2 linked regions of the Lepisosteus oculatus genome follow. The protein of the gene in region 2 interacts with the protein of the main gene of each other region in a pairwise test. Links are inferred from orthologs where the notes say so. Each region holds a gene or a part of one and is shown on either strand. Other genes may lie near its edges. The genes, in order: ehd3 and rabenosyn-5.

Region 1 (16,174 bases), on a different chromosome or scaffold from region 2:
ATTGCAGAGATGAACAGGATCCCAAAAGACTGCATCTGCAACCCTGAGCAAAGCATGCACTTCTGAAGTACCGTTTAACTTGCTTCCCAGGGTAGTCACACACAGACTACCATCGCTCGAATGAAAGTACCAATGTCAAGTTCAATAAAATGTCAGTGGCCCTATTAAAAAAAGACTTCCTGATTATAATGATATGAATCTATTGCAGAGATTGTGCTTATTTGGATGTACAGTGAAAAGTGTATTGGGACACTGAAGTGAAATGTCATATTTGCTGTGTACTATTGAAATCTGTGTTCCAGATCAAAAGATAAAATGATAAAAGATAAAAGATAAAAACTATAGAACATCAGGAGATTTTGGGGAGATTATGCACAGTCTCTTTTTGCTCTAATTTTGGTTTTTTTCTATATGAACTGCTGTTTGTCTTTCTTGAACAAACTGGGCTTTGCCAGTTGTGTAGTACTACAGTTCTTTCTTTCCATGCAGATAACACCCCAGGTCAGAAATGAACACAGGACCCCAGGATTACAAGGCAGCAATGCTAAACACTGCACCACCTGACCCCCATCAAGACATTCCTTACAAAATCAACAGAAATGCCCAATCTCTCGCAACAGGTCAAATTGGAATTTTCTTCGCTCTTATCGTCACTATCGCTTGGTCTTCTGTCATAGACAAGTCTCTAGTCTTCATCTCATTTATGGCTTTCAGATTGAGAGGCAGACCCAAACTGTGAGCTCCAAAAGACTGGAACCATGGCTATATATTCACAGTTTAATGTTTTCACAATTAGTGCAACATAGAACATCTGAACAATAAGAAACACTTGTAGCCATGTCTCTTATTATTTACTCTCACCTAAAAAGGTGGGAATAAGACATTGTTCTGACATTGGTAAACATCTGCAAAACACCACCCATAAACAAAAGCTGAAATGCTACAGTATATGCTAAACGCTACATATTAATGTTTTCATCGCAATATGTCAAAATTAACAATGTCATTTTCTGTGGATGTGAATGTTTCAGGCATTCATTTGTTTGAGAAGTTAAAGAAATGGGAAATATGTTGCCCAGCACTATCAAATAGCAGGGGAATCCATGGCTGTTGCCCTAAAAACCAACACCATATTTTGCACCTGCTGCACTTCAGGCTACATTATATAACACTGCAACATAAATTACATTATATAGTTTTGCAACATAGATTATGTAGCTTGTATTTGAAAAATGTGTGGAATTTTAAAATTCAGCAGTTCTACTACTCTGGGATAAGAAATAAGCCCATGTTTAAAGAGCTATATGTGCTTAATGCGTAGTGTACAAGGGACAAAAAATTAAATTATGACAAGTACTGTCATGTTTAATTTTGCCAGGGAGAAATCTGTTAACTGTTCCAAAGATGTCAACTTCTATGTAAATTTGCTTTATTTTGAAACCTTGCAGATCATTCTCAATCACCCACTCTGACTAAAAGTATTAAGTCTAACCTTTCCATTTAATATAAATTTCGCTTTTGAAGCAACTTGGAAAGGAAGAGCATAACAAATAGAAAGGTCCTGTCAAACAACAGCTGAGACTGTAAGACAACTTCAGTAACTCCAGGGGGTAAGAAAATGGCCTCACTGACAAAACCTTGTCCAGTATAACAATTAAATAATGAGATAAAGTAGCATATTATCACAATACACTACTTAACAAAAGAAAACTGGTTGTAGCAAATAGAAACTGAACTCAAGAAACAAAACAGAAATTTGAAAAGGACTGACACACTTTAATGTATGCACACTGCTTTTTAATATCATACCGATACAAAAGGCCAGTTTCTTTACAAATAATTTTTCTAAAGAAAATAGTTAAAAAATAGCCTTCAACATCTGTAATGTCTCTCAATACATAGGTTTTGTTGTTTAGAGCTATCAGACTTCATTTAAACTAAACTCTTTTAAACGACAACTTCAATATGGGTCTCCAGCATCTATAGTAACGGCCATTTTACCAAATAATCCACAAAGATTTTCTAAAACGTGCCTAAAGGAAAGTGAAAGAGGAAGAACAAAAATAAAAGCATCCCTATTCTCTATTCTTGTAATAGTTGGTGGTTTGGAAATGTCATCATCCTACAATGAATCTTTGGTGAAAGTCTGTAAATACTGAACACTGCAAGTTTTTAAAACACCATATTAGTTTTTGAGGTTTTGATCCTGATGATAAATGACACTTCCTAAACCACAAATGGCACAATAAAAAAAAATGCTGCACGCTCATTCTAACATTGTACAAGCAGCCTCTGACAAATGGTTTCGAACATTTTTGCATTTGGCATAACCGATGTATTTGGAGGTATGTGCATGATAAATGCTCATAGCAACAATCTGATTAAAATCATGTGAAAAAGTAAAAGAAAGGATCCGTCACCTGAACACACCCAAACAAGATTTTTCTTCTTTCTACTTTTCACCACAGAATTAAACTGTACTTGTTCCTTCACAGCACAAAGCTGACACAGTTCCCCGCTCAAACTACAACATGTACATGTTTGATTGTGATCTTTACTTCAAAGTATAATCATAGCTCCTGCCAGTAAACCATTTAGTAAAAATTTAGATAAAAAAATTAAAAGATGGAGCAGCATGTCAACTGAGGGACCTTTGCTGTATGTCCACATTCTGAAAACATGTCTGACTTTTGCAAAACAGTTGAGCTATTGCGAATGATCCCTTTACACCTTTCTTATCTGGATTATTATTTTGGCCCTCAATAATCTTTTGAATTTAGTGCTGGATTTTCTTCAATGTGGTACACAGCAAGGCCAAGATACCTGAAAAATGAGAAGCTTTCCAACTCACCTATTGAGAAAAGCATTGCCGAATGCATTGAGCTTTCTGAAAGGCTTCTTCGGATCCACCACCAGCGCGTTTCCAGGGATCAGCCCTTCCACGTCACCATGCATTACCGCAATAAAGGAGTCGGTTGTGGGCTCCGGGCCAATTCGCATGCCAGGGAAGTCCTGCTCCAAGAGGTACCTTTCCAAATAAAAAGAAAAGCAATGAGAAAAAAAATCTTCCTGAGCGCTGGGCTGTATCTTTCATCTAAATGAAAAAGATTGACCAATCTAATCTTCTTAGTCTACAGCCTTTGCTTGATTCCTTCAACATGTGCTTCATTTCAATCTTAAGTATAACCTTCAGTCTACAGAACAGTTAAAAGTTAGAGATTAATTTCTCTCAATTTCACAGGCCGTATTCCAAGGACTGGGGGTGAGGATCATGGGCAATTTAACTTAATTCATTCTTCATTGAGTGACACTATTCTAAAATGTGAAGTGTATATGTGTGAAATCTTCTCCTGAAAGCATTTGTGTGCTGAGTAGTCACAGTTCGGAGCCATTCGGCCTGAAATTGGCTAGTTTTGTCTCCAGCTGTGAATGCCCTGCCTATGACATAAACCGCAATGTATCACATACATGGAGAATGAAGCACAAAACAGAACACAAAGTGAGAAAAACTGATGCTTATAAGACTATATACTGTACATAAAGGTTAAAGATGAAAGCACATTAAGCCAATACAACTTGTGCCCTGCGCAGTGTTCTTGAAGCAGTCATCTGTGTGTCTGTGTGTCTCATGGAGAGTAAGTTGGGGTATGTGAAAAGATAATTCCTAATGCAAGAAATTGTAAAGTGTTAATAAAGTGATGTTATTATTATCTCCACATAACATATATATTCTGCCTCTGTTTCATTTGCATTTGATAACCTGCAGAGCAAGGCCTCAGAACTGTTCACTGAGCAAAATGATTCAGAATTGGTTATGTGCTGAAAAACAATCACAGTTGATTCCACTGGATCACAAAACCTACAGCAAGTACCATTATTTAGACTTCATGAATTATGATTCCTATCCTGTTCTTTATCGAAACCTTTCCAGAACAAAACATCAATGCTGGGACATTAATCTGCAATTATTAAACAATGAAAAGGTTGGTTCACATACGTACTTTATGAACCATACCATATTAGGAGACACAAGGTGGTTCATAAACCACAAAGGAGACATGCAGCTTTTTTCAATGGTATTTTTTCATATTTACCAGGCTCCATTTAAAAATGGTATGCCATGGGAAACAATGAACAATGTTTAGCTAGAAATGTATTATAAAAAGAATTGCTCAGGATGAAACCCCAGCACTTCTGCCTATTTTGGGGAAGAAGCAATCATGTTTTCAAAGACAAAGTTCTCCATATTATTAAGTGTCAGATGCCTATCAAACTTGGCATAGCGTTTAAAACTTTAAAAAATTCACAGTTCTGACAGTAGAATAGCTAACAAGATCCGACACCTGCTCACCGTCCGTCTTTCACTGGAGTCCAGCTCACGGCTTGTCGTTACTTGAGAACACGATTTTTTTCTTGGATGAAATCTCTGCTGAGCAATAAAGATTCTACACAGCAAGTCATTCCTGACAGCCACAATGACGTCACATACTGGAAACTGCTGAACCTTTCCAAAACATTACTTTGATGACTACCGCAAAGTCAGGAGAACAGAAAACAATCAAACATCTTGACATAAGTCCATGTAAAGTTTTATTTTTTTATTTCAGAAATTTCTTACATTTCCCCACCTTTTAAATGTTTTTTGGTATTTTTACATTTAAAATAATATAACTACTTGTTATATTGGAGCTCCTTCCTAAAGTGCGCGGTGGCTCTGTGGCTAAGGATCTGCACCTGTGACTGGAAGGTTGCCGGTTCAAATCCCATGGCTGGCAGAGGAATCCTACTCCGTTGGGCCCCTGAGCAAGACCCTTAACCTCAACTGCTCCAGGAGTGCCGTATAAATGGCTGACCCTGTGCTCTGACCCCAAGCTTCTCTCCCTGTCTGTGTATCTCATGGAGAGCAAGCTGGGGTATGTGAACAAATTCCTAATGCAAGAAATTTTATATGGCTAATAAAGTTCTCTCTCTCTTATCTTATCCAACAATCACTAAGCACATCTCTTAAATGAGGCCAGAAAACCAGAAGCACATCACATCACTGGTACATATGATGTCTATAGCACTAAGGCAGCTGGAACCTCTTCTATGAGTAATATAATAGAGAAAACTGAATGAAAGTCCTATTTTGCAAGACGATACTTATGGAATGGTTTTATCCAGTATGCAATCTTCTTTGTTCTATAAAACATCCTACTACATTTACAGTACTCCCCAGAACTAACACTTAGGCAAACTGCAAAATTCACAGATCCATCACATTTGCAGATGACTAAAAGAAAAAGCACCTCATTCTACTCCACTATTAGTGCCTCCTTGGCCTAGATGGGACAGAACACAGAAGTTTTAATTGTATTTGCCAGCACATAAAGGTTTACAACTTTTTGTTTTTACCAAATTTACAAATTGCTAAGCCAGCTGCCCAGAATATTTTTATCTGACAGGGATAATCCACTAACTGCTGATCTCCACTGCAGTGTGTGATGAAGGGGGTAAAAATGTACAATATAATCAGAAATAATAAAGCTTACATTTCGGAACTCAGCAGTTGTGAGGAACCAAGTATTTTCACAGGATGAGAGAATTCCATAAGTAAGCTGGGAATTACACCTGGACATTGTATTTAAACAAATACTTGCAGCTTTCCTGCCCAAACCTGTGCTCTAACAACTCTTAAGAATGGAAGCAGAAGATGGCCCACTAACACTGGCACTGTTTAGCAGGAACTTCCTATTAGGTCTTCAGCAGTTAATAAGCTTCCATTATGTATGGTACAAGAAGAGACAAATACTCAACTTCCAGCTATTCAAAATCAACTGCTCTGGACCAAACTAAACCATGCACTACCAATTACAGTCGCCGAAATACCTTCCAATTTAACCAGAATACCTATGGAGATACTTCACTGTATTTTTTCAAGGAGTAAGCAGGTCTAGGCATTATTTGAGCCAAAACTTACTTGGATAATCCCAACTGTTCTTAGGTTCTGGTTTTTCAAACTGATTTCACAGCTGAATGTTTTCCACAGACCATAAACAATCAGTGGCAGGTATTTTAAAAGGATACAAAAAAAGACTGCATGGTAAATGCCATACAATAAACAGTAAAGACAAGTAAACATAGTTCTGGTTATGATCTGAGAAAATTAACTGCAAACAATCTGACAATACACCAGCAGACAGCTATACTGCAAACTGGCACAACAGTCAATCTGATGAATTCTTGTTAGCTTGTGTGCTGAACCAACAGTGCAAATTACAAAGTTTCATCCAGGTGACGTTTGTAAGAAACAAGATGCTTCTGTGACAATGCCCAACCTTTAAAAGTCAATTATCAGTAACAAACATGTGAAGAGATATTTAATGCACACATGACTGCAGTTGAATATGTCATTAATACTGTATAAATGCCTAAGCAGACACACTCACAGGCTAAAGCACAGACAATTAAGGTCTAGCTCATTTAATCCTCAAAGATAAAGTTATAACATAGAACACCAGGGTTAAGGGAACCACATGTCACTGGGTCATTTGTTAGTCTATGTGGGAAACTGCAGCTAGCATAAATCTTAAATTTACAACAGATCATGGGCTTGTGCTTATGAGCACCAGGATGTTCTTTTCCCGGGGTATCTGAAATATGACTCCTGCATATTTCACAATCTGAAGCTCATACTGCACTGTAGCAGTCTGAGCTTCTTCAGACTGTAGCTTTATGTAAGGACAATGCCAGTCAAATCTGATACAGGTCTTAATTAAATTTAAAATACATAAACTAACAAGCGGAGGAACCTGTATTCTAAAGGGAACTGTGACATAGATACGGCAGTAGCAGGTTGTTTTCATTACTGAATTTACGCTCGCAAAATAATGAGTTGCTGCGTTTCATAATACAGTTGGGTGAGGGACAACTCATTTCTATGTCACGCAATGTTTTCACAGCAGTATACTGTGTAATGTCTGGACTTATTGAGGTATTTATTACTGTACATCTGCTCACTGAATGATCAGTCATTTTATTAAATGAGGGCCTTACCCTTCATATACACAAGTCTACAATAACGTTGGCAAATAAGAAAAAGGTCACTTCTTATGTTACCGCTATAATATGCTCTGAACAATATAAAAACTAATTAACTTTGCGGCTGAATAATACTGGATTAGTATCAATGAAAAGAACAAAATCAGTAATGTGATATGGGCAAACAAGAGCGATCTTGTGTGCAGCGCCTGCTGTCCGATATTCATTGCGGACACGCAAATACCTGTACTTACCGAATGAAGCTGGTCTTCCCAGTGGAGTACTGTCCCACCAGCAGTATCATTGGTTTGTTGTCAAAATCGGCATCCTCCAGCGCCGGCGAATGGAACTCGTGAAATTTGTAGTGCTCTTCCAGGGGCAACAGCTTCGTCTTGTACAGCTTCTTCAGCCCCTCGCTCACGGTCTGAAACACTTCAGGGTCCTTCTTCCTCCTGTCATCATTACCCAACCAGCTGAACATGATGCAATTCGGTAATCGATAACTTTACACTATCAGTAATCTATGCAATTTAAAGAATTGGAGTGTTCTTTGAAAACACGCAGCGTGGTTACTAAATTGCGTAGTGTTCCCCCACTTTAAAGAAAAAGATACTTCCTTTGCAATTGTTTTTCAGATGGCGTTCTTAAAAGCTTTTCAAATGTGTTAGTATTTAATCAGAACATACTTCGCCATCAAAATTTCTTCATTGACAGCGTCCTCTCTTTCCAGGTAACCACAATCCGCTTTTTGCTTTAAAGGCCGAGATCGCCAAAATGCATTCAGCTTTATCTTGAGATGATCTCGCACTGTCTCCTGTAAAAATGTTACACATAGAGAATTAAAAGCACAACCCAAGATTTCATTCAAACTGCAGAGGAATCCGAGTAGAAGTCATATTTACAGCATATCTTCTTACATTCGAAATACTACAGGAATAAACGTGTCCTTCGACTATGACCCCTCGAATTGTGTACTTAAAACTTTAAAAACGTAAATGACTATAATAAATTTAAAAAAATGTATAATTAAGACGCTATGCCTACTGCTCTGTACAATCTCAGACGACCACAGGTTCCCCGGCTTCTTCACTGCAGCTGATTTAAATACCAGACCTCTGGAAATATGATCGTACAGGAAATGCCCAACTACTGGCAAAGCCCCACCCATGACACTAGAGGACTGAAGTCACTGATGTCAGCGCCATATTAGCGGAAGAGGTACTATCTCCGCACGTCATAGAAACGCCTAGAAAACAATCATTTACTTGTATTTGCGGCAATGACTAAAACATAGCTCCATCTGGCGGTTGTAATAGTGACTTCATTAAATTAAATGATACCAAAGGCTATTTCAAAAACACGTTCAGTGGAAAGTTGCCTTCAGAGCGGGCATTTTTAATGAAATCGTTGTTATCCGATCCTACTCATGGATGGCCGGTCTGTATATTTTCCAGATCTATTCAAAACAACAGCACTTGAAGATCTGGAATAATTGATTAAAGTGATCGATTAAAAAAATAACAAGCTCATTAAGGTATTCGTTTTTAAACTATAGCTGACTGGGAATGAAGATATACGGATAAAACATGACTAGGATTGGAAAACCCTGAATTAAATTATTTCTTAGCACACCAAACTTTCGTTTTACATTAACCTGCAGTATTTCTTGTTATCAAAGAAACTGAACAACAACACTTATCAAACTAGACACTGATATGTTATATCACTAATACCCACTCCATCATGTCTTCCGTTTTCATTCCAAATATTCTGGAATCTCAACGATTGTAGTTGAATCAGTTATGTTATTAACTGGCATAAGTCACCTGTTTCCATTACTCATTGATAATTATTGTAACGACCGCGGGACTCGGCACGAAATGGAGCAGGCGTAGAACTCTGGAAAAGGGGTTGAACAACACATTTATTAACCAGAACCGGGGAAAGGTTACCACACACAGGGACAGGGGTTACAGCGCTGCATCTACACTAACAAAGACACAGAAGGGAAGAGGCCACCTCGCGCCACCTGCCTCCTTATATACAGTCCGATTTCCCCAAGACCTGGCTTTCTTGAGGCATCTAACAGAGTAAATATCCTTGATGTTCAGTAGCACGCACTGGGTAGTGTTTTGAACCAGTTTCACCACCCTCTGGAGTACCTTGCACTCCCTGGTGGAGCAGTTACAATACCAAACCAGGCAGTAATGTAGCCGGTTAGGATGCTTTCAGTGGTGCATCTGTAGAAGTTGGAAAGGATGTTTGAAGGCATGTCGAACTTCTTTAGTCTGCGGAGAAAGAATAGGCGCTGCCGTGCTGTCTTGGCTATGAGGTTGGTGTGGTGGGTCCAGGTTAGATCGTCTGTGATGTTGACACCTAGGAATTTGAAATGGTGGTTTTCTTGAAGCAACAGGGGACAGTGCATTGAGTGAGGGAGAGATTAAATATATCCGTGGAGGTGTCTACCAGTTGATCTGCGCGAGCCTTTAATGTAAACTAAAGCAGAAACTTTTCCCAGAGGCTGGGAATGTTAAAAAAGCATGGGGATGAAAGTTCAATGGGACTTGGAAAGACCAGCTGAATAGTTTAACTAAAAGGTTTCTTTGGCCTTGCTAATTTCCTCTGCATGCAAGAGCCGGGTAAATTCCCATGATCTCAAGGCCTGTTTTTCTTGAAACAGCTTCAAACAGCTTAGGTGACCTCAGGAACTCCTGGAACAGTTACACTCAGCCCCTGGATCGATGGTTTCACACTGCAACAGAAAAGACTAGTACAGTATATAAAGTGTGCACCCTAGAGATGCACACAGATGTGTAGATGTGTAGGGATGTTAAACATCCCAAAGGATGCTCCCCCATACTTAAGCACCAAAATTAAAGGAACACTATGGGGTACTGTGCTGCTTCTCTGACACTCACAGCACATACTGTACCTTGTCAAATTGTGACCATACCAACCTTCAAATTAAACTTCAAGTAGCCTTTGTTAACAGAATGAAAGCTAGTCTGATTCAGTGGCCAAGCAATGATACTTCATTTTCTGGAGAGCTTTGAACCTTCAGATAAAAGTTTGCTATATATACGCCACAATCAATTAATAATAAATAACTGCATTTATTTATCACTTTTCATCCTAAAGGATCACAAAGCACTTACATAAAGGTGGGGACCCACTTTATCCATCGCTGTAGTGCAATTCCACACCTGGGTGATGTGCTGTGGCTTTTATGCACCAGCATGATGAGCATTTTTCAAATCAATTAAATTATGGGGGGCTTTAGGTAGACCCAAGTGCAAGCCCAGTGTGGAATTTAGCCAGGGTCCTGGGGTTGCAACCCTACTCTTAAATACAGTGCAATGGGATCCTTAATGGGTAGCCAGAACCGCAACAATAGTTTTTAATGTTGGGTCCACAGTTCAAAATTTAGTTCAATGGAAGTGACCCAAAACCCCTCAATGCAGCATTGGTTTTTATAAATTCTGGTCCTGTGGTATATGTGCTACTTTACTATCCATCAACATGACTTAAAGTGGCAACCTAATGTCCATTGGAGGTCTCCCATCCAGATAATAACAAGGCTCAGCCTTGCTTAGCTGCTAAGATGTGATGAAATCAAGCTGGAAGGAGACAGCATTTTGTGGGACTTGTTTCCTACTGTTTCGATTATTTGCATTACTCCCAGGCAGCTTGCACATGTCACACAGGCCCTACAATAACACAAACGCTGGCAGTCTTACACAGGAAAAGCAGCACCTTGCTTCTGTTTTTACAGCTCCAGAGACCTTAACTGCTTCCACAGAGCCTTCACTCAGTGGTCAATTTTCCATCAATCTGAACCAGCCAGCAATCTGCAAGAGATCTCAGACTTCACCCTTGTAGTGACCATCTGACCAGGTAATCAAAAGCTTTTTCTTGCATTTTCTTGACTTTTCACTGAAATGAAAGTTTTGATCACTTATTTGCTCCAGTTTGTGCCATTAAAAAGGTACAATACATAGTTAATTGTCTTAAAAAGGCTTTCCCAGATATTCATTAACCTTTGTACCCTCTCTGACTCAATTAGATTTATTTGTGTTATCCTTCTGTGTCTGTGTTTAGATTTACCATAAACCCACTGCAGTACACTGCCAGACAAAATTCAACACCAGGAGGCACCAACAGCAAAGCTACTTAAGAACAATTCAAGCCAGCGGTTCTCAACTCTCCTAAAACATAATAAAAGGTTACAAACAAGAGGAGGCTATTTGGCCCATGTGGTGGTTAGTAACATATTGTTTCATATATCTCATCCAGCTGTTTCTTGAACGAAACCAAAGTGTGGGCTATTCAGTGTTCTCTACACTCCCATTATTCAATGGGTAAATGTGTGCTTCCTATTTTCAGTTTTAGGTAGGTAGTGTACTGGAGCAATTCAGGTGAAGGACCTGGCTCAAAAAACCTACAAACTCCTTCAAATCCCTACCCAGAGCCCTAGAGGCCCCTGGAGGTTGTATACATATTTAAATCAGCAGCACATGAACACCTGAGAAAATCTATTAACCTGCTACTAATTAGTCACTAATTAGTCCAACTTATTATAAGAATTTGTTAAAATTTGTACTTGAATGAAAAATCCAGACCCTAGAAGATTGAGTTTGGGAATACTGCAAGTTTACAGTTGGTCATCTACAGTGTTTTGCATACTTGATAAAAAACATGTAAGATATTAATTATAATTCTCCACTATCAGCTCTTGGCAGCGTTTAAGAAGTACAACCTTGTATCATTACACTCCCCATATTTTAAACACAATTCAAAGTTGTGTGATTTTTTATAACCTACTTCTTTATCTTTTTCTCTATCTTTAAACATAGTTTATGAGCTCTATTGTCTTAGATGCACATTGTAGTTGGAACTAGACAACCCTACTCTCTTATCCTAGCGTTAATCCTGCATCAGCAGGGTCCGCTTGTCGGCACGCCCATCTCCATTTGGTGGTTTGAACCAAATCTTTGGTATCTTTGGTAAATACTGGGGCATTAGGACCCACATGGACCACAGGGTGAGCGCCCTCTTCTGGCTTCACTAACACCTCTTCCAGCAGCAACCCTAGTTTTTCCCAGGAGGTCTCTCATCCAGGTACTGACCAGGCTCACACCTGCTTAGCTTCAGTGGGCTGCCAATTGTAAGTTGCAGGGTGATATGGCTGCAAGCGAACTAGACAACCCTACTGTACAACTCAAATGAACACCCTTTACACTGGGCATTCCTTTTCATTCCTGTCATTTCATTCAATTTTGAAGCCTAACCTTTTTCAGAAAAATCTAGAAAAATCTCATCTAATTGATGGTAATGATACTCCAATATACTGTACAATACTTTTTTTTAGAAGCCTGGTGTCTAGATCTGATTAAAGTGAAGCTGACATGTAGGGTAATACAGTGTTAGGGGAGCGCACTTGACATTTTAAGGCAGGCAATGGCTGAACTGAAAGAAGCAAGAAAGCCAACAGGAATTATTATATGCTTCCTCACAGCAATTTGGGTTCTGGGCTCAATTTCAGGCATGGGTGCCTTCAGTGTGACATTCACATATTCCCCCATGGGAAGTTCTTGTCTTTTTTTTCCAAATATTTCAGTTTCCTCCCACCTTCTGAAGGTTAATGATGTCTCTAAATGTCTCTGAACATTTTTAGAATGTTTTTTTTAATTCCGTTTGCATCCTCTACAGCTTTTCTGAATCTTCTTTTGGTATCATTTGGCAAACTTGCCTAGTTTGCTAACTACTGTATATCAGCCAAGATCATTGATAAGCATTACAAAGGGTAGTGGTCCTAATGCAGGCAGTTGCTGATATATGTTGGAACCAGAAAGTCATGTTATATAGTGAAACGATGTACAGTATAAAGGGGAATTTTAACTCATAAAAACAATATAAAAATGGAGGGTTTAGGACTGTAAGAGTGTAAACCTTTCTCTTGTGACTCAAAGTGGGAGGCTCTTCCCCCATAGGGATTCATGGAAGAGTTGGGTTAGTGACCAAAAGTTAGACTGTATTTCACTTGTACTGTAGCTACCCAAATACAGTACTGGGGGTGAAGTTACAGTATAGTCCAGGTTACATTCTTAAATAACATAATTTGTACAGTAGCAATATGACTTATAAAGGGAAATTAATATCCATATGGAATTTTGTAATTAGCTTGAGATATATTCCTTATAAAAAACAATAATTAGAAACAGACAATTAGTGTCACTAACTCCTTTCAAATTGTAGCCAAAACCAACAAGTCAATTGCTGTTTCAGGGTAGGGCTCTTTTCTACACACACTTCATGCATTGGAAGTTAGTGATGCCACCTTGGTCCATATATGTCACAAGTCATTGTTACTCAATTCTCACCTTAAACAACTAATCAGAAACCTGCAGGGCGTGGTAACCCCACGTGGGTCTGAAATGCCCGCCAAACTCTCAACCAATCATTGCACATCTGTCACAATCGTAATCCCTCCTCTTAAGGGCACTCTGGCCCTTTCGTATTTTAGTTGATTTCATGTACCTGCCCCCTGTTCTGTCTCCTCATTTAAGCCTGGCGCTCTCGCTGTTCCATTGGGAGATGGACGCCCAGAAGCCCGCCTACAAGCGGGTCCAGGAGAGACCCAACGGGATAGGCTTCATCACAGCAGCCTGACCATCTGAGTCCAGGGCTTGGAGCATCTGGCCTCGTCATCCTGATTTTATTCCCTGTCCCTGTTCCGGATCCTGTTTCGGATGTCTATGTACTGTGTGAATGCTAACCTTAACCCTAGCTGGGGTGTCAACTGAGTCATTCCTTAATCAATATCTGAATTCCTCCGGGCATCGGATTTTGACATATTCCCCCAACCAAAAAGTATGGGTGTGAAACAGTCAAAAGCAGTGTTAAAAGCTCTAGCAAATATTTTAGATTCTAAAATGTTTGCTTGCAACTTTTGATCCGACCGATTCAGTTTTGGGATACAAATACCGAGTGGTGCACCGCATTATCCAGTCACCGAAAAGTTTCCAAAGAATAAAAATAAAGCTGATTTGGGCCCAAAATCCAGGGATGAGCTTAAAATTCCTACATTTACAAGAGGTTTTATCAATTCTTTAGTTTGTTTCACACTCATACTTTTTGGCTGGGGGAACATGGTAAAATCCGAGACCAGTAGGGCTTCAGATGCTCAGATTTTGGGGCACAAGCCAAGTTTAGGACAAGTGATTTTTTGCTCCTTTCTGAAAATAAGATGGGGCCTCATTTAGGAAAGCACAGCAACACTTACTGTAATTCTGTCTTATTTATAAGCATTGCTGCTACACTAGGCACAACCTCACTGATAGAATCAATGGACCAAGGTGGCATCAATAACTTCAAATGCATGAATGCTGATTGGATGTTGCCGCAGAGACAGAGGCTGCCAGCTGATCTTTTGTGTCTGTGCATCGGGAAATACAGTACCAATCCATATCTGGATAAGTAACCTAATATTCCACATTGCCAATCAAGAATTCAATTATATCTCAACAAGTGTTGATCTTAATTTAATTCATATGAGTAATGTATTTACTTTTGAGTATCTAATGTAGAAGTTGTATTAATGAAACTGATTAACAAAATGGTATTGCTGAATGGTATACTGAAGCATATTCCTTGTTTGCATCTCTTTGTGTTTTGCATCTCTTCATGATTATATACAGTACCTTCCATTTTGATAACCCTCACAGTAAGATCTGCCATCTGTATCCAGGCAGACTGTGATATGTTTTATATGTACAATTTATGTATTCATAAATATATCTTGTGTATTGAATTAATGTGTGTGCCTTGCTGACTGTTCCTGATGATTGATTGTCTAATAGCCATAAAAGAATCACCTCGTGGTTTACTGCTACAATTAATAAATTGTCCCAGTAATTTCACAAAACTCCTACTGTAGTAATAAAACCTTAACATTAATGTTGGGGCATAATGATTCATAATCTAAGTCATGGGCATCGGCATTATCTAGAAGAAAAACTTTAATGTTAGATTTAGGTCTTAGCAATATTTATTTCATTTCCAGAACACAATCATCTACAGACCCCTTACTTCGCTGTTTTTTGGCTGAAGAATGATGTAAGCACAGAGAAGTTTGGTAGAGTTAAATAATTCATCGGCCAGTAAGTACACAAGTCGGGAGATGTACAGTATAACAGGGACCTCCTGTGCACCACTACATACTGTACATCACTCCAATTAGAGCATTCACTCCTCACCTGCACTCTCTTTCCTATCCATCAACCAGTTCTCAATCCAGACAAACACAATAGTTTTGAACCAGGATGCCCTGGACTTCCTGGAAATGCTACAGCCACGACTTCTTCATGTAAACCAACGGGCTAGCACAATTAAGACTTCAGTGCATTTGAAAATGAAAAGGATGTTTCAGAATTGGATTGTCTGTGTTGGATGAGTTTGAATCACTAAGATATCCTCCTTAACAGAAACCCCTGGAGATAATGAGGTAAGTGCCAGCTTTCAGTGTTGTCTATATACAGCTGCACCACCCCTCCAGTTAGTGCTGAATCTTCTGTAAGTCACTACAGAGCCTGCAGTGTGTGATGGACAATTTGTTCTGGCAGGAAAGTGGGTCACAGTTCTGCGTACAGAACTGTGACTGTGACCGTGTTTGTGAGGGTTTCCTCCAGGTGTTCTGGTTTCCTTCCATTGCCCAAAATCATACTGTTAGGTTGATTGGATTCTAAGAAAAACTGGCCCTGGTCTGAGTGTGTGTGACTGGTGTCCCCTCCAGGGTGTATCTAGCCAGTGCCGGCTTTCCCAGTAGACAATGTAGACACCGTGCCTAGGGCCTACGCAATTATTAGGGCCTACGAAGGAGGGAAACGCTAGTGACTAACGAAAAATGAGTTGAAACAACATGCCTGCCATCGACTCTAGGTGCTCTAAATTACTAATCATATGCTATCATTGGTTGTTCTAGAAACTAGAAGTATCAAAGAGATGGTCGCTCGACTCGCTCCATCAATTGCGTGATTTAGCATTACAGTAGTTTAAAGTGTATCATGTCAATCGACGTAAATCAATTGGCATTTACCTCTCTTTTTGCACATTTCGGAGTGAAAGTGCCAAGGGCCTACAGACACCAAGATCTAGC
Region 2 (16,927 bases):
TCAAAAAGATACATAAACAAGGCTGAAAATGAGACCTTCAAAACTACTCCTGTTCCACAATGATTTGGAAGAAAAAAATGCATTTTTCTAAATCTGGGTGTCATAAATCCAAACTGATTTCTACTACAGAAATCTACTACTACTTCTACTACAGTGCACACACATACAGTTCTTAAGCAATTGAGAAACATTTAATGAAGATTCTTAGTATTTTATGAATAACTGGTATTTTAAAAAGACGACTTTTTCCTCACTCTATCACACCAACACATTTTCTTTCTTGTTCCTGTGTCATCACTTCATTCATTCAAAACAAATAAAATATCATTCAGATGTTTTTTTTTGTATGGCCAATTCTGTATAGTCACATTTTCAAAGGGTTTATTTTAAATTATCTTTCAATTTTCCCTCTATTAAACACCTAAATCAAGGTATAAAGGCTTGTTACGTTGCTAACAATCTGAAAATTGAGGTGTATTGTACTTATTTTAAATTGCTTTATTTTATAGACAGGTTTATTACAAGATCCTGCACAATTGTCTAGAATTCCATGTAATGCTCAAAGTACAGTATAAGGATTAATGTGGCACATTAACAAGAGACAGAGACTGGAAGGATTAGTGGGGGGAAAAGTCACAACCTTTACTTAGCATGGCTCAAATATTGCCAAGTTTGACCTCAAGTCAAGGTATAGATCAGCTGCACTAAGAGAAGAGTGATGGTGGTACTAAGGCAAATGTGAGGCCAAGGAATCAATTTTAAAAGCTTCTAGCAGCCCTTATTATTCTACTAAGCACATGTCCAGTAGAATAATAAGACAGTCTCAAAGGTTTATGTGCAGCATGTGGAGTAGTGAAATCACAAGTCCCTCTACGACAGGAAGACCACTCCAGAAACACACTCCCCCGGAAGGGAAGGTACTTCAGGGACTGAAATAAGACTTCTGTCCTACCGAATCTTGATTTATTTCTGAACATATAAGCCATTCAAAATAATTGATATGGAGGAGGCAAAAAAGCAAAGATGGAACTTGAATTTCTCCAGTGTCTTTGTAAATGTAATCAAAATGTAATGCTAAGAACTATAGGATTTCCAAGTGTGGCGAGTGGTGCTGCGTTATTTACAGGATCTTAAATGTAAGGCGAGTCAATTGCACCAAACAAAGCGAGTATCATTCTATTCATTCAAACATGTTTTAATGTAACTTAATGATGGACAGTGTAAATAATAATGTACTGTGCTGTTTCACAGAGTTCTGCAAAATGAACGTTTGGATTCCAGCTGGTCTATCCTACTATTTGTTCTGGTAACAATACTTAATACATAAAGAATGAGCTTGAAAGGGGTTGTAGTCAATCTTTAATTACAATTAAATGGTGGTGCAAAATATAATTCAGATGAATTAGTATGCTTGGGATTGTACAATAGCACCAACGGGCAAGGATTGTACTTAAAATATTTAACACAAGCAGTTTGCGTATCCCACAATTTCTAGTAAGGTAGTAGGAGGCAGGGTGCTAGTAAGATGTTAACTGTGATGTGCTGTCAGTGCATAGGAGATCTCTTATCTGCCACCCAAGCTCTTTACAATGATTGTCAGGTAAGGTAAGCAAACAGTGAGGTTTGCAAAACATTGTAAATAATTATTAGTAAATAATATCCTATTGCTTTTTGTAGTTTACAAACCACTGAACCATTAAATATACAAATTCAGTGTCAAGCACTTAATTCATCTACCAAACCACAGACTAATCAAGCTGCAGATCAGTTTCCACGCCAACAGAAAAAGAAACAACACCGCACTTCTCATCTACAGTCTGTTTCTCTTACCTGCTTCTAACTTAGCTATTGAGATACACTTATTTGTTCTTTTGTACTTGTGTTTTGCCACAAAATTGCACCAGAAATGGAAGTCTTTAGTCTTTTATTTCTGTCATGTTAGCGTTCTCAGCTGTGTATGAGAAGCATCAAAGGCAGACAGCTGACAACTTATTAAGCAAGTCTGCAGAATATAAGCAAGTCAATTACAGGATATGAGGATAACATGTAATAACCAAATAGACTTAGGGATTTTCACTGTACTGTATTTATCGATTGAGTCCTGGTTTCAGGGAACAATTTCTCTCATACTAAAATAATGTTCTGGAACTGGAGATTTCTAGTGTTCAATGTACTTTTAATTAGCTACAGTATTGTATCCCAGTATTCCAAAATATTAGAATTAGGGGTCACCCATCCTGTCCAAATAAGTGGGAATGGCCCACCATATAGTACATCCCACGAATCTTACAAAAGTAGCAGAAGACCATGCCTTTACTTCAGTGGGATAAGGAAAGAAGGCTGATGTATGTCACTTCACAACAGGCATATCTGCTGGTACAGATACTGTATCTCTGATGTAGTGCTAAAGATAGCAGCAGACCTGGCTAACATGTCAATCTATACGTCCTCAAGGGCTCTTGGGTAGTGGTGGGCAAATCTAAGAAAACATTAACAGTACGGACACTTTAGGCTCCCTGAAGGTACTGAACTACTACCCTCATCTCTTTCAAAGCTGTGTGATCTGCTGCTGGTTGAAGGGTCCTACAGTATATCTCCACATACAGCTCAGTGAATTAGGCAGTGCATTGCTTCTCAGACATTGTTCCTGGAGTACCTCTGTGACTTCTGGACCAGTTCTACTAGATCAGATGTTCTTAGAATTGATGCTATTACATGTTGCAGCTGTAACACTGCTAGAGATGGACCAACCCCTTATAAGGCATTTTTTTCTATTTTTCATAGGATACTATAAATACTGTACATGTCTTTATGGAATTGACAAAGAACTTGAACGGACTTGCAGATTATGTAGAGATGAAAACCTGACATTTCAAAAGGTGACATTTCAGGGAAAAATAAAAGATGGTAAATCTATTAAAACGATTAGGAAGTCTAATATGGACATTAATTCAAAGTATTTACAGCAGAAAGTCCTACAACTTCCAGTTCATATCCCTGGAACACCTCACCATATGGGTCCATACATGATTTATTTATATGTATATAAGAGCACTTCCATAAAGGAAGGCTGGAACATTAGAGCCAGCTTTTGCAAATACGATTTCTCCAGGAAGGTTGCTAAGATATCAACATTTATGAAAGTACATTATTCCTTCTATTTGTTATGATACACAGTAAAAACCTACTACCCGATTGAGCCTATCATTATCCCTTCACAAGAGCACACAACCACAAAGATTTAAACACAATGAACTGTTCTGGATTTTGAATTCATAAACCATGCTTTACAATGGGACAGAAAAATTCAAAGTAACTTATCTGAGACAATCCTTGAGTACCTTATAAATAAACTACTCCTGAAGCCTACCTTACGCAGTACTTTGGAGTTTAACTTATTTTCCGGATCTCTTTTCAAGATCCAGAGACCAAGAATACTATACTTCTTTCCTTGGAGCATACAGTATGTCTGTGCTGGACATAAAGCAGCTTTCTAATGAACAACAGGCAATTTTGACAGACTCTATATACTATGAAGGAACTCTTAGAGTCCACCAAAGAGTAAACTGTAAATCTCCTAGACACAATTTCAGTATTCCGAATGGATATTTTGTCATTTTGCTTTCTTAGTGAATTTCTTAAATGGATATTTAAAAGCAACAAAATAAATAATAAACTGAACTACAAACTCACTCACATTGTGGTGGAAGGCTGAAAATTACCACCTCCCAATATTATATGAAAGGTCTGCAGCTAAATCAGATGAGCAACTACTGCACCTCTCTGTCTATGTAAATCAAAACTAATTGCATGTTATTAGGCATACAGTGCTCTCCTTCCAATTTAATACTGCAAAGCAGTGTATAGAAAACACGAAGCATCTGTACTAGACACACCAATCAGGACATTGTAGTCTCCACTCCTGACATACTGAAGGATTATAATTAAAGCAAAGGTACTGGTTAAACAGGAGGTAATTTTCTTGTCTTATAGCCTGAAGGTGGACAATGTATTGAAGGTGGTTATTAACCATTCACTGCCAGCATCTTTATTCCATTCCAAGTTTTGGACTTTTGGAAAATGACGTTTGATTAACTTAAAACTAATCCATAGCCTTAGGCAATCGCAGTACTTGTTAGATGTTAACCAAAACATGATATATTACAAATTGTTTGGAATATCAGTCTTTATTCTACTCTCATGTATATACATAAGCTTTGTACTGTAGGTAAGCCTTTAGCAAACTGGATAAAGTTTTCCTCAGCCTATGCCTCATCCACTGAAAATTTAGAGTATCATACCTTCCACAATATCTCTGAGGAGAGAATGAAAGACAAACCACTTAGAATTTATCATTTCTTCAGGGAGATGCCTGAAGTGTGGGCAGGTGCATACATTTACAAGCTACTCACCCCTGCCTCCAAATCCTCAGGAGAGAGAGACTTTTCTATGCTAATTTCCAACTACCCTTTTCTAAATGAGCATTGCAAATAGCATCCAATTAATTTTAATTTCACATTTACTTGTTGGCGTTTTTTTAATCGCACCTTCCAGAATATGGAAACCATGCTCTGAAGATACTTAAACAATCAGGATCAAAGATTAAAGTAAAAAACATTCCATTAACTTCAGAAAATAAAATCTGAAAATTGAATGAGAACCATGTGAAAAAACAGATAGTAAAACGTATATTGCACTATTAATAATTATGTTCCATATCTATGGAATTAATTCAATTTTGCTACCATTCACCTTTTGCATACTATTTGTTTTTTACTACTATTCATTTTGCTAATCTAGGTACAACTAAGGACTAGACAGTTGTTAATGCACAATGTTCAAGCTCCCAAACAAACATTCTATTCCCCCTAAAATTCATAGAACACTATTTCATATAAACATAGTAGCAACAAAGATGTTGTATTGAAAGCACTTTAACAGAATTCAACTCAATGCAAGCTTCAATCAGGATCATATATGAAAGCACTAAATAGGAGATTTACAAATATTGTCTAGTTACTGTGTATTCGAAGATGTTGCAGATAAATCATATCTCTGTTCTTGTCTTTCTAACCATTTCATCAAAGACAAATAACATGACTGAGTGTTGAAAATATTTATTGCCATTCTGAATGTACAGAACAAATGTTTCTCCTAACAAAACCAGTCAGCGTTTATCCATCCACCCATTTTCTAACTGCTTCATCCAATTCAGGGTTGCCTATCCTGTAAGCAATGGGCACAAGGCAGGATACACCCTGGATGGGACACCAGCCCATTGCTGGGCACACGCAGACATGCACATACTCACACTAAGAGCAATATTCCCAGAAGCCAATTAACCTACCAGTATGTCTTTGGACACTGGGAGGAAACATGCAAACACTGGGAGAACATACAAACTTGACACAGATAGCACCCCAGGTCATTAATCAAACCAGCACTGTGAGGCAGCAATGCTAATGACTGTACTACTATGCTTCCTGGCAGCAATTATTATGATATGATATTTAAGACAAAAAGAATGATGACATCTTGTACATCAGATACATGGTATCTGAAAAGCTCTATCTTCAGTTAACAAAAGTTCCAACAGTTTCTTCTTAGTACAAAGCCACAAATGATAGCATTCAGTAGTTTAACATTATTCCTTACAAGCTCAATGCAATTTCAGAAGCATAGTTTTGAATTCTGTTGCTTTGCTGTCTTATCCTAAGCACGCAGATCAAATACCATGAAAACTCTAAAAATGCCAAGTATCATTTGCCTTGCCAAACAAAAATTATATTATTACCACCTATTGCTGGTCTTCAGGACAGAAAAGCGGAAATTGGTCTGGGGTCTAAAATGATTGATGGGGCTTTTTAAATTCCACCAGCTCACGTATATACACCTCAGTGGTGCTTCACAGTGGCAGCCTTTTGCAACTTGAACCAATGCTGCCACCCAGTGGTTGAAGAAGAGTTTATATAGGTTATATAGACAGAGATCAAGTTCAAGTTTGTCATTCCAGCCATATATAAGTATACAGTGTATACAGTATACAAAATATCATTCCTCCTGGTCCACGGTGCAATTACAGATAAGACACTGACATGGACAATGTAGACAGGACTAGCAATGCTAATATTAATACATACGATTGTGCAAACTAAGACAGTGGCCATGTACACAGGTTATATACATGGTGTAATTTAACTGTTGCAGAATAGTATAAAACAATACATCACACAATATACACTAAACACTGGGGGGATTTTAAACCTTGTTTCTGGAATTGGAGTGGGTGCAAGTAAGTACCCAGGTGTTGAGAAGCCTAACAGCCTGTGGGAAAAAGCTGTTACAGAATCTGGTGGAGCGAGCCCGTATACTGCAATATCTTCTTCCAGATGGTAGGAGAGCAAAGAATTTATGGGAGGGGTGGGGGTGGGGGGGGTCATCTACTATACTGGAAGCCTTGTGCATACAGTGTTTGTGAAAGATGACATGAATGGAAGAAAGGGATGCTCCAATAATGTTTCCAGCTGCTCATATTTTCTCAGCCACAGACCATTTCAACAAGTCTCCTTTGGATTTCCAGTTTTTAAAAGGCGCATTTATAAAGTGTAAACTAGTTAAAGTGTATCTCCTCAAGAAGCCTTTGGAAAGCAGCCATTTTCAGTTAAGACCAAAATGTATCGTTCCTTTCTAACCATAATTGTATTTCCAAATCCAAACAATGAGTGCAGGTTAGATAGAGGATTTATTCTTAGATTACAACTCTAAACTTTTCAGGACAAACCCAGTCAAATTCAGAATCTTGGGTCTGTGTAAGTGTATAAAAATAAATGGAGAAAGTATCATGCAGAACCCACAAGATCAGCACGTACTGTATGACGGAATACTGTTCAATTCATCAGGAGTTTTATTGATTTGTTCCAGCTCGGCTAACACAGTGGTTAGTACCACTGCCACAGCTCCAGGATCCTTAACTTCATTCCATTTGAAATCCAGTTGGAGGCTCTTGCCTGCGTGAAGTTTGTTTTGTTCTCCCCACCTTCACAGAGGGTTTCATCAACAACCTCTTACCCTCCCAACCACATATAGAGTAAACCCAGCATTATCCATTTCATTAACAAAACGCTCTCTTCATTACTCTGCCCTGTCAGAATTGCTGTGGACTTGTTCCGTGGAAAACTTAGGTTCTGAGTGTCAGTGAGACATGACGCCTCTCTTGGTTGTACTTCTGTGGAAAGAAATTTCCACAATGCATCATGCTGCACAAAGCGATAAGTTTGCTTAATACGAACAGTGCAAAATACAAATCCTTTTATATTCCGTGAAGAACTCACATTGTTATGATTTTGCACTCCTCATTAGTAGAGATTTGCAGGCTGACTTCAGCAGGAACCGTCTTCGACAAGAAGGCAGTGTTTCAGGTGTGAGACGAGAAAACAACACTCACAATAGAAAATCAATTTTAATGCTCAATAAACACAAAATTTCATTTAAAGAAGAAATAAAGGGTTTTTAATTGGAATAAGACTTCCAATTAAATTGGACAGACAGAGACGCAGTTGTCAAGTCAACCTTCATTATGAGTATAACAAAATGTGTATAATGCAAGGTTGTATAAGACCAGCTGCAATCAACACTTAACAAAAACTATAACACAGGCCAACTTTTGATTTCCCATATTATCGGTGGCACTCTGGCTAAGGATCTGCACCTGTGGCTGGAAGGTTGCTGGTTTAAATTCCTAAAGAGGGAGACTCCAGATGGCAGCACTGATGAGCACAAAGGAGGAAGAAGTTTTTAACCTGGACCAAATGAAGCATCTCCCAGAAGCCTTAGCTGGAAAAAACAGGAAAGGATGACTCAGCATGAGATGAGCCAAGGTTCCAACTAAATAAAGTACAAAACAAGATTTAAAGACACTGGATTAAGCAGGACTTTCATTTAAAAAAAAGGAAGAGTAGCAGCTTCTGGTCCACAGTCTCCACATTTTAGCATAATCTTAAACAACTCAAGTCCCTGCCCTTAGCTGCTTGCAAGAAATGGCTAGATGAGATTCTCAAACAACCAGACAAAGCTAGATGTACTGAATAGTCTCCTCTTGGTTGCAACCTTTCTTATGCTCTTAAAGTGGAAAAGAAAAAAAACAATAAAAAAGGCTAACAGGGGTTTTTAAAAAATTGAAAAAAGTCAAAAGACAAAACACACACTGGTGAGTTCTATCTGCAGTGATAAATTTTAGGATAACCAAAATAACAATAATACAAGAAAAAAGGAGGAGTGATAACAAACAATAATAACAAATGTGATATCTGTTCAGGCACGTGTTGTGTAGTAGATTTTTTGTTTCCCTCTAGTTTTGCCAATGTGTCTAGACCAGGGTTCTTTAATCCTGGTTCTGCAGGCTGACAAATGAAGAGCTGGGACAAGCTGGTAATGAATGAACTGGTCACATCAAATATTCATCCATCAATTGTCTCACTGCTGTATCCAATACAGGGTTTCTGGACACTATCTGGAAAACAAGGGGTGTAAGTCAGGATGCCCCCTGAGCGGGATGCAAGTCCATCTCAAGGTACACACAGACCCATGTGCACGTTCACACTCACACCAGGGCCAGTTTTCCCAGAATCCGGTTAGTCTATCAGTATGTCTTTGGTCTGTGGGAGGAAAATGGAGCACCCCAGAGGAAATTCACATGAACCTGGCGAGAACATACAGTACAAATTCCACACAGATAGCTCCCCAAGTCTGGAATTGAACCCAGGGTCCCAACACTGTGAGGCAGCAATACAAACCACTGTGCCACTGAGCCACACAGCAATTGATGATGAATTTTTCAGACTAAAATAAAAAATAAATATATAAAAAAAATGCCATGTATAATTTGCTTACCAACAAGAATTGTTGGTAAGCAGATGTATTCTAATGCAAACATTCCTTCTGAAAGAAGTCATACATGATATGTAGATCAACTGTTAATCCACATGCAACAGAAGACCCCAGAAAATATGTTTTAGTGCTGTATGTCCTCTTTGCCTTCCTATCCGCTACACTGCGCTGCACTGTAATCACGTGGCACGTCATGTGACTGGCAGGGCCGTGGGTAACCTTTCACCTGTGGAGAGTGTATTCTATGTAGCCAGCGATCGGCACCTGTCAAAATATACTGTACTATCAGTAAAAAAGATCTACACAGCGTGATTTGTGAGTATTAGCGCCTCGATTACTTGATCCGTTTTGTATGTACGACGGATGATTGCTTTTCTCGCCTGGATCGGGTTATTTTCTGTTGTGTGATTTCTGCATTGTGTAGTAACAGATCCAGTTCAGCGAAAGAACACTAAGGTTTTCCTTATCGGTTTGATTAATTTTTCAGGTATTCTGATGCTGAAACTAGACCGATTATGTCTCTTTAATTACTGCGTTTGCAACACAGTGTTTGTTTCTGTTACACGATTAACCAATAACATTTTGTAAATGAAACTTGATTAAATCCCATCAAGAGTTTGTCTTTGTCATATATATTTAATGTTACTATAGACCCAAAACATTAATGATTATATGCTTTTAAACATGCCACGCGAAATGCTTCGTGAGGGTTGATAATAGATCTTTAGATTGTTTTTGTGGTTTTAGTGAGTGAGTATAAAATCATCTAAAAGTATAGTGATTAAAACAAAACGCTTAAGAAACAGCGGATCCCAAGACATCCGTGAACACGTCCTTATTGTAATCGACAGTCAAGGACTACTTACTTGTCTTGTTCGTCTCCATTTTTTAAGCCTTCAAGCCTTATTTCACACAGAGAATAACCATGTTGTGTTGAGGGTTACAGAAGATTTGCACGACTCTTTAAGGAGGCGATATTGTGAAGTATTCACCAAGTGAAACAAATCCAATCGGCCACCCCATGCCTCTCGGTAACTGACCGAAGAGTACGAATCAAGCCTCCTGCTACCTCCTTCAAATTGTGCTCGTTTGGAGCAGCCGTCCTGGCCTTTCGTGATTATAACGGTTTTGTGTAGCGCTTTTCGCTAAATGGTTTTTCTTTTTGCATTTTCAAATTTTAAAACAGTATTGACATGCTGTTTTGAGTTAAAACACTGAACACTTCAGCTGATAGAATAAACATTAAATTGTTTTAATTTCTTTGGGTGTGCCTACACGCCTGCGTTTCCCGTCAAAAGAAGGCCATTAAGAAGCCATTGAGAGGTGTGGACCTTACAAGCGTTTCATTATGAGAAACTCAGCTGAGGCTTTTAACATCTGTACGACCTTTTCTGTTCTAGTATACTGTTCCCCGCTGCTGTTAGTGAATTTAGTATATTGCACCCTTTTAATATGTGCTGAAGCCTGCAGCTCTGATTTCTGATTGCAGGCCCAAGGGATTAAATATAACAGGGACAATGTTAAATTAAGAGCAGCTGTCTCTTTTTTCTAGTCTGTGATGAAGATAAGGAAGACTTTATAGTGCTATTAAATCAAGCAGATTAGGAGAAAACAGACCAAGAGTTGTGTGGTGTATTTCTAAACCATTGCCTTGATTTGTTTTTAATCTGGAATTGCCAATTAGTGTTTATAATACAACATCCCAATTTTTAATTACCAATTAAAAAAAAACTTGGCTATTGGCAACAAATCCTTTACCAATCCTTACTCATTAATTGAGTGAACTTCAGGCTCCACAGTGCCTGACACAGTCAGAATTAGTTTTTTTCAGGTATCCATAGAACTTCTCAAACTTCTGTGTCCTGTATGTTTAAACTATTTTAATACTCTATATTAAAGAGTTCTTGTTGTCATTTATTTTCATGGTAAACAGCTCAGTGAAATGTTACTTTTGTGTATAAACCATTTCTGTATCATGTTTTAAGAGTTTCACATTTTTGCTAAAACAATTATTTACTTCGATCTCATTATTTACTTTTAGTTGGATACAGCAGTACTGAAAAAATATTAATACTGAATTATTGCAGTGGTAGTGAAATGTCTGTGATTCTAGTTACATCATAGTCACAAGCTGAAAACTAACTATTTGTATTTACTGTTAAAAACATGCTTTCTTGACTGGTTTATCCATTTAAGGTTTCCTGATATAATTCCATAATGGAAGTGCAATGCAGGAAGTAAATGACTCACACTCCCACTTGGAGAACAATTGGAAAACTCCCAATTGGAAAATGTAATGCATAGAAGCATTTGTTTCTGTTTTAATACTTAATGTTGCAAAAATGAAACTGCTGTCTAAGCAGGACAGTGCTGTCTGATTGTTGAATGCCTTATTGAATTCTGATTTTAAAGCATTTTTACACTGTCCCAACACAAGTTCTTCATTCGACCTGTCCTGTGCTTATCACCCACACTGTAAAATATTGAATATTTTAAAAGTAAGAAAATCATGAATGCAGTAGCTCATAAAGAAAATGTAGGTTATTTTTACTGAATGTTTTGATGTTTTTTTAGGTTCTATGTGGGTGGCTTATGGCCATGGAAGACCTAAAGGCTAAAGTTTTCCTCCGGCTTGGAGCACTATGAGGCAGCCATATTGCTCTGGGAGAGCCTCTCTCTGGCACCAGCAGTTCCGTTTCTCCACAGCTTTTGTCTACCAGCAGCCCGCATTTCAAAAATGGCATCCAGCTACCCACCTCCGTTCGAGGAACAGGGGGAGGTGAGGGAAGGCTTTCTCTGTCCGCTGTGCCTGAAGGACCTGCAGTCCTTCTACCAGCTCCAGGCACACTATGAGGACGAGCACTCTGGGGAAGACAGGGACGTCAAGGGACAGATAAAAAGTAAGAGCTAGCTTTAAAACCTTATGTTAGGTTAGGCTAGGAGCTCTATCACCCTGCAACTCATAACTGACAACTCACTGAAGCTGAGCAGGTGTAAGTCTGGCCAGTACCTGGATGGGAGACCTCCTGGGAAAAACTAAGGTTGCTGCTGGAAGTGGTGTAAGTGGGACCAGTAAGGGGTGCTTACCCTACAGTGTGTGTGGCTCCTAATTCCCCATTATAGTGATGGGGACACTGTAAAAAAATAAATAAAAAAGGCACTGTCCTTTGGATGAGATGTAAAACCATGTTCCCGACACTCTGTGTGATTAAAAATCTCAGGATGTACACTTGTGTCTTGGGCAAATATCCTTGGTCTTTACCATTCATGGCCTCATAATCCCCATCTATGGGGCTTCATCACTCTATTCTCCTCCCCACTGATAGCTGATGTGTGGTGAGTGTACCAGCACACTTTGGCTGCTGTTGCATCATCCAGGTGGGGGCTACATATTGGTGGTAATGGAGTCCCTATTATCTGTCAAGCACTATGTAAGTGTAAGGAATTTTTATTAATTAATCCTCAACATTTGTTTTTTCTTCTCCAGCTGAGGTTGCAGTTGATCTTTTTTCTTTTTGTGAGAGAGGAGCTAATGTCAAACTTTTATAAGCAGGTGTCCTGCTCAAACAAGCTAATGCCAGACTTTTTTTAGCGTGTGTCCTGATCAAACATTACTTATTACTTTTTTGGGTCTGTTGTGCGTTCAGACAGAAGAAAATAATTTGCAGTAGTTTGGGCTGTTTAAAGACTAGTCGATCCATTTCATTTCGGATCTGGTTTAAGCCCTGCCTTCTGGTTCTTCAGCATATGCAAGTTCAGGGTTTCTGGAAGCAGGACGTAGGTCTGGATGTTGCCATGTTGAGACAGGGGTGAAGTGAAGGCGTGGCTTCATGACTATTTTAAACATAATAAGAGAGACATCCTTGGATGACAACAGCCTCCATGCATTTCAGGCTTATTTGCTGCCTGGGTTTCCCTATTTTATTCAATTCTCACACTGTTTTCTCACTCAGCCATTTATACCTTCATTCATGGCATTTCTGCTACTTTCTCTTATCTAATGAAGGACTCCTGACTGAAATGTCGATTGAACAAAGCTCAGTAAAATCAGCTGGGGTCAGCCATCTCGTCAAGGTGTGTAACAACAAAGCAATCCTCCGGGTGTCTCTCCTCTCCTGTAAGGTCTGGTGCAGAAAGCCAAGAAAGCCAAAGACAAGCTCCTGAAGCGGGATGGGGAAGACCGAGCTGAATCTGGGAGCTATGAGTCTTTCTACTATGGAGGAGTTGATCCATATATGTGGGAACCCCAAGAACTGGGTAAGACTGAAACACTGGTAACTAAGGCCCTGCGGTCAGTATCTGTATAGCTGACCTGTTCAAAATATGTATTAAAACGGGAAAATATACAAATCATATGAAGCACTTGCCAGTGCAACTAAAATGCATGCCTCCATATAGCACTAATAGTGGGTGAGGAATTTTGCAAAAAGAAATATCGCTGCAAAAAGGAGAGTGACGGTTTGAATCGATTAACTCAGTTTGATGATGCTTCAAAATAAGTCAATGAGGTTGTTAGTCGAAATGAATTTTTAAAAGGAAAAATGCTTGAACCATTCGATCACTGTATTTAATGACTATTTAACCACCGGGCACAGGTGGACTACAGAGATAAATTCAGTATTTTTACTTGTAGAATTTAGGTTCTTTTATAAACACTTTATGTGTTTTAATACTTGTGGGTGATGGTTACATTACATATAGTTTAATAAAAAATTAGGCTGCAAATACAGATTTCACTATTGTGTTTGCGGTTGTTGTGAATTACTTGCCAAGCAGATAACCTTATGATGGTTCACAAGTGTAAAAGTAGAAGTCTTTCATTTGCTGGAGCCCTGCACATTTCGTTGTTACTTTTTCATTAGTAATTCATACAAAACAAGCTGTTTTTATCTAAATAATCAGATAGTTGTGTAGGTAAGACCAGAGAACCCTGTAGCCCTAGATCAGTGGTTCTCAGTGGTCCTGGAGGAACACTGTGTCATTTTTTGCTCTGTTTTAATTGTCCTTAAAACACTAGCTAATGGAGTTCAGTTTTCTATTTGCGGCATGTTTATAACTTTGCTTTCGGATCATTAAAGATCAAATGGGATCTACAATTGGTGTCAACCCTCTACCTGTATTTTCCCACTGAATATAACCAATTGGACTTCACTCCTGATACAGAGTATGTCTTATACATTGTCATTCCCACCTGTGTCTTTTCATCATCAAGTGACGAACAAGTAAAAGAGCTGTTTAGTCAGAAATAACAGCAAGCCCGTTGAGGAGGGACTCTAAACTCTGCATGCTGAAGTTGGAAACAGCACCCTTTGCAGTAGAGAATTCTTGACACTCAGGATTGACAGGAGAAACAAATCTGATAAAAGTCTAAACAAGCAAGCTGATCAATTAAGTCATTACCTGGCAGTGAAAACCAGCTGAGAGGTCAACTGGCATGGAAACCAGCAGACTGTGTTTCCTCAGTACCAGGGTTAGGGTTATCCTAGAGGAATGGATCTGTCCATTTATACCATATAAAGTGCATTATAATTCAGCCAACATACTTTTTCCCCATGTCTAGGTGCAACCAGATGTCACCTAGAAAGCTTCAAGAAACACAGAGCTGCACGAATTGACCACTACGTTATTGAAGTAAATAAATTAATAATCAGATTGGAAAAGGTGAGTGGTATTTCACTCATTGTAAAGGGGTTTGCTGACATTCCTGAGATAAAATACTGAAAGTTGTTGTAGAGATTCTCTGATGTGTAGCTCAAACGAAAACAAGTTCTGTACTTAATTTGTTTCATGCCTATTGTTAGACTAACAAACTTTCAATTTCATGGGTCATCAGATAAACTAGGTAGATAAAATACAACATTTCATCAACACACTTTTATAGCACAGAGACATTTTTAACTTTCAATCTCTGTGTTGTGAATAATGAATTATATCTAGATGCTACAAATTAAAATATTTTAAAAAGTATGTTTATACTGTATGTAAACCATTATGTCTTTGACGGCTCATCCAGGTGTAGATTTTAATTCTTGGTGTTTCAGTGTAGCCGATACAGTACACTATGTGATACAATACACTAAAGGATGAACTATCACAGTCACAGTTTTACATGTACTTATCTAGTTTGTACAGATCTGCTTTCTTCCCTAAGAATTACATTTATGATATCAATATAATGAGAAGTGACAAATGTGAAAATGTGTTCGTTAAGCAATACATAAGTCTTGTATTTCCTTCTCACTATTAGTTAACATCATTCGATAGGACCAATGCAGATGCTGCCACAATTAGAGGTGAGTAGAAGACTCGTCAGTCTTTTAAATTATATATTCAGTCGCCCTGTTTTTTAACTGTTGGTTATTATAATTCTCTTCTTTAGCAATTGAAAAGTCTGTTGTTTCGTGGGTAAATGATCAAGATGTGCCATTCTGCCCTGACTGTGGCAACAAGTTCAACATTCGAAACAGACGCCACCACTGCCGTCTCTGTGGATCCATCATGTGCAAGAAGTGCATGGAGTTTGTAACCCTACCCCTGGCACGTGAGTGACCACCTTTTCTGGAAGCCCCTACCTGTGGCCTGGCTGTGGGCATCTGCTCACATTGTATGCTGTGTTGTCTGCACATAGCAAAGAGAGATATGAGAAGAGATATGCTGGTCCATTGAGGTTGCTTAGATTGTATTTAATTCTGCTTTTGAAAATCCTTACAGGATATTTTAGGATCAGACTGCACAAAATGTGTGGATCTGTACTAAACCCCCACAGTTCTTTGAAGAAAGATATTGTACTGTTTGTTCTAACTAATATTAAGTATCAGGTATATTTTGGATGTGTACGCCACTTTTCCCTCATCTTGGGTGACTGCATTGATTATTTAAGTGCTCTGATGGTGGGTTAAATCAGAATTGCTGGATAGAGCAGGAAAATATCTGTCAGAGCGCTTTTGCAGAAATGAAGTAGTATAATCCCATTTGAGTGGAGAGCACAAGGATGTTTTGTAGAGCTGGCCTGCCAGATCATACAACAAAGACCGTACTTACAAGACCAGTACAACTAAGAACAAAAGACTTTAAAAGAAAGAAAAAGTAGGAGAAAGAGATATTGGAATAAGTTTATTCTTCAATGATGAACTGAAATCTGTAATGTATTAGGAACTGATGGAACTCAGAATTAATGATCAGAGAATTCAAGGAAAATAAATATTTAATGAATCTATAAACCCCCAATTTGCTACTGTTTTTGTATTGGAGCACATGCATGTAGTTATCTCCTTTTTGCTTTGGTTTAGAATGCCGGCTCATCAGGGGAGGATTATTTAATGAAAATAGGTATGCATACTGTATATAAAAGGTCCATTTCTGAGTACATTAGGGTTTGTTAGTGTTAGTATTTAAGTGTGCACAGGCTTTGGAACCACCTGGATACAATCATATAAACATTAGTTTGTGTCTCATTTTAGTTCTTTTTTTTAAACAAATACTTTGCTTAATTATTTCTCAACCACCAAACAGATCAGAGAAAATTAGAGAAGGCACATGCTGTTTGGTTTTCTCTGAATGATGGGGGGGGTTATTATTTTACCAGATGCTTGTATTCAAGCTGATGAAGGCTGAGGTGGAAGTTGTTGGTTGTTGGTTAGAGCTGTGGTGCTTTTCCCATGTCAGACAAGCTAACAAGCGGCACCAGGGAGGCCCTGTGTGCCCCAGGTAGCCCCGGCCAGTCATCCAGTGTCAGCGTGCAGAGCTCCCGCCGTGGAAGCATCAGCAGCCTGAGTAGCGTGAGCTCGGTGCTGGAGGAGAAGGACGAAGACCGTATCCGTTGCTGTCGCCACTGCATGGACGTGCTTCTGAAGCGCCAGCAGAAGCTGGAAGAGAAGGACCACGTGCCCGATATCGTCAAGCTCTATGAGGTACAATAGCGGTCTGGTCTCTCTTTGTTCTGTGACGTACTGTACACAAGTGGTCTGGTCTTTTTTTTGGAGGCATGGGTTCAAATCCCACTGATAACACCATATGACGTCTGTGACCACCCCTGAATTTG

The links.
Region 1: the proteins of rabenosyn-5 (region 2) and ehd3 interact in binary tests that used the Homo sapiens proteins (3 or more experiments, as listed by UniProt). The link is inferred for Lepisosteus oculatus from reciprocal best matches to the Homo sapiens genes RBSN and EHD3.

What each region holds. Positions count from the first base shown.
Region 1 is NC_090697.1:18,386,030-18,402,203, forward strand, and holds the start of ehd3 (EH domain-containing protein 3), read right to left. Parts: upstream 8,169-16,174; 5' UTR 8,065-8,168; exon of another isoform or gene 7,835-8,064; 5' UTR 7,715-7,834; coding exon of another isoform or gene 7,707-7,714; 5' UTR 7,502-7,706; coding exon 7,275-7,501; intron 3,029-7,274; coding exon 2,852-3,028; intron 1-2,851. UniProt on the Homo sapiens protein: ATP- and membrane-binding protein that controls membrane reorganization/tubulation upon ATP hydrolysis. In vitro causes tubulation of endocytic membranes. Binding to phosphatidic acid induces its membrane tubulation activity.
Region 2 is NC_090699.1:55,414,824-55,431,750, reverse strand, and holds the start of rabenosyn-5, read left to right. Parts: upstream 1-9,095; 5' UTR 9,096-9,201; intron 9,202-11,460; 5' UTR 11,461-11,623; coding exon 11,624-11,786; intron 11,787-13,008; coding exon 13,009-13,143; intron 13,144-14,446; coding exon 14,447-14,547; intron 14,548-15,133; coding exon 15,134-15,179; intron 15,180-15,265; coding exon 15,266-15,427; intron 15,428-16,551; coding exon 16,552-16,796; intron 16,797-16,927. UniProt on the Homo sapiens protein: Rab4/Rab5 effector protein acting in early endocytic membrane fusion and membrane trafficking of recycling endosomes. Required for endosome fusion either homotypically or with clathrin coated vesicles.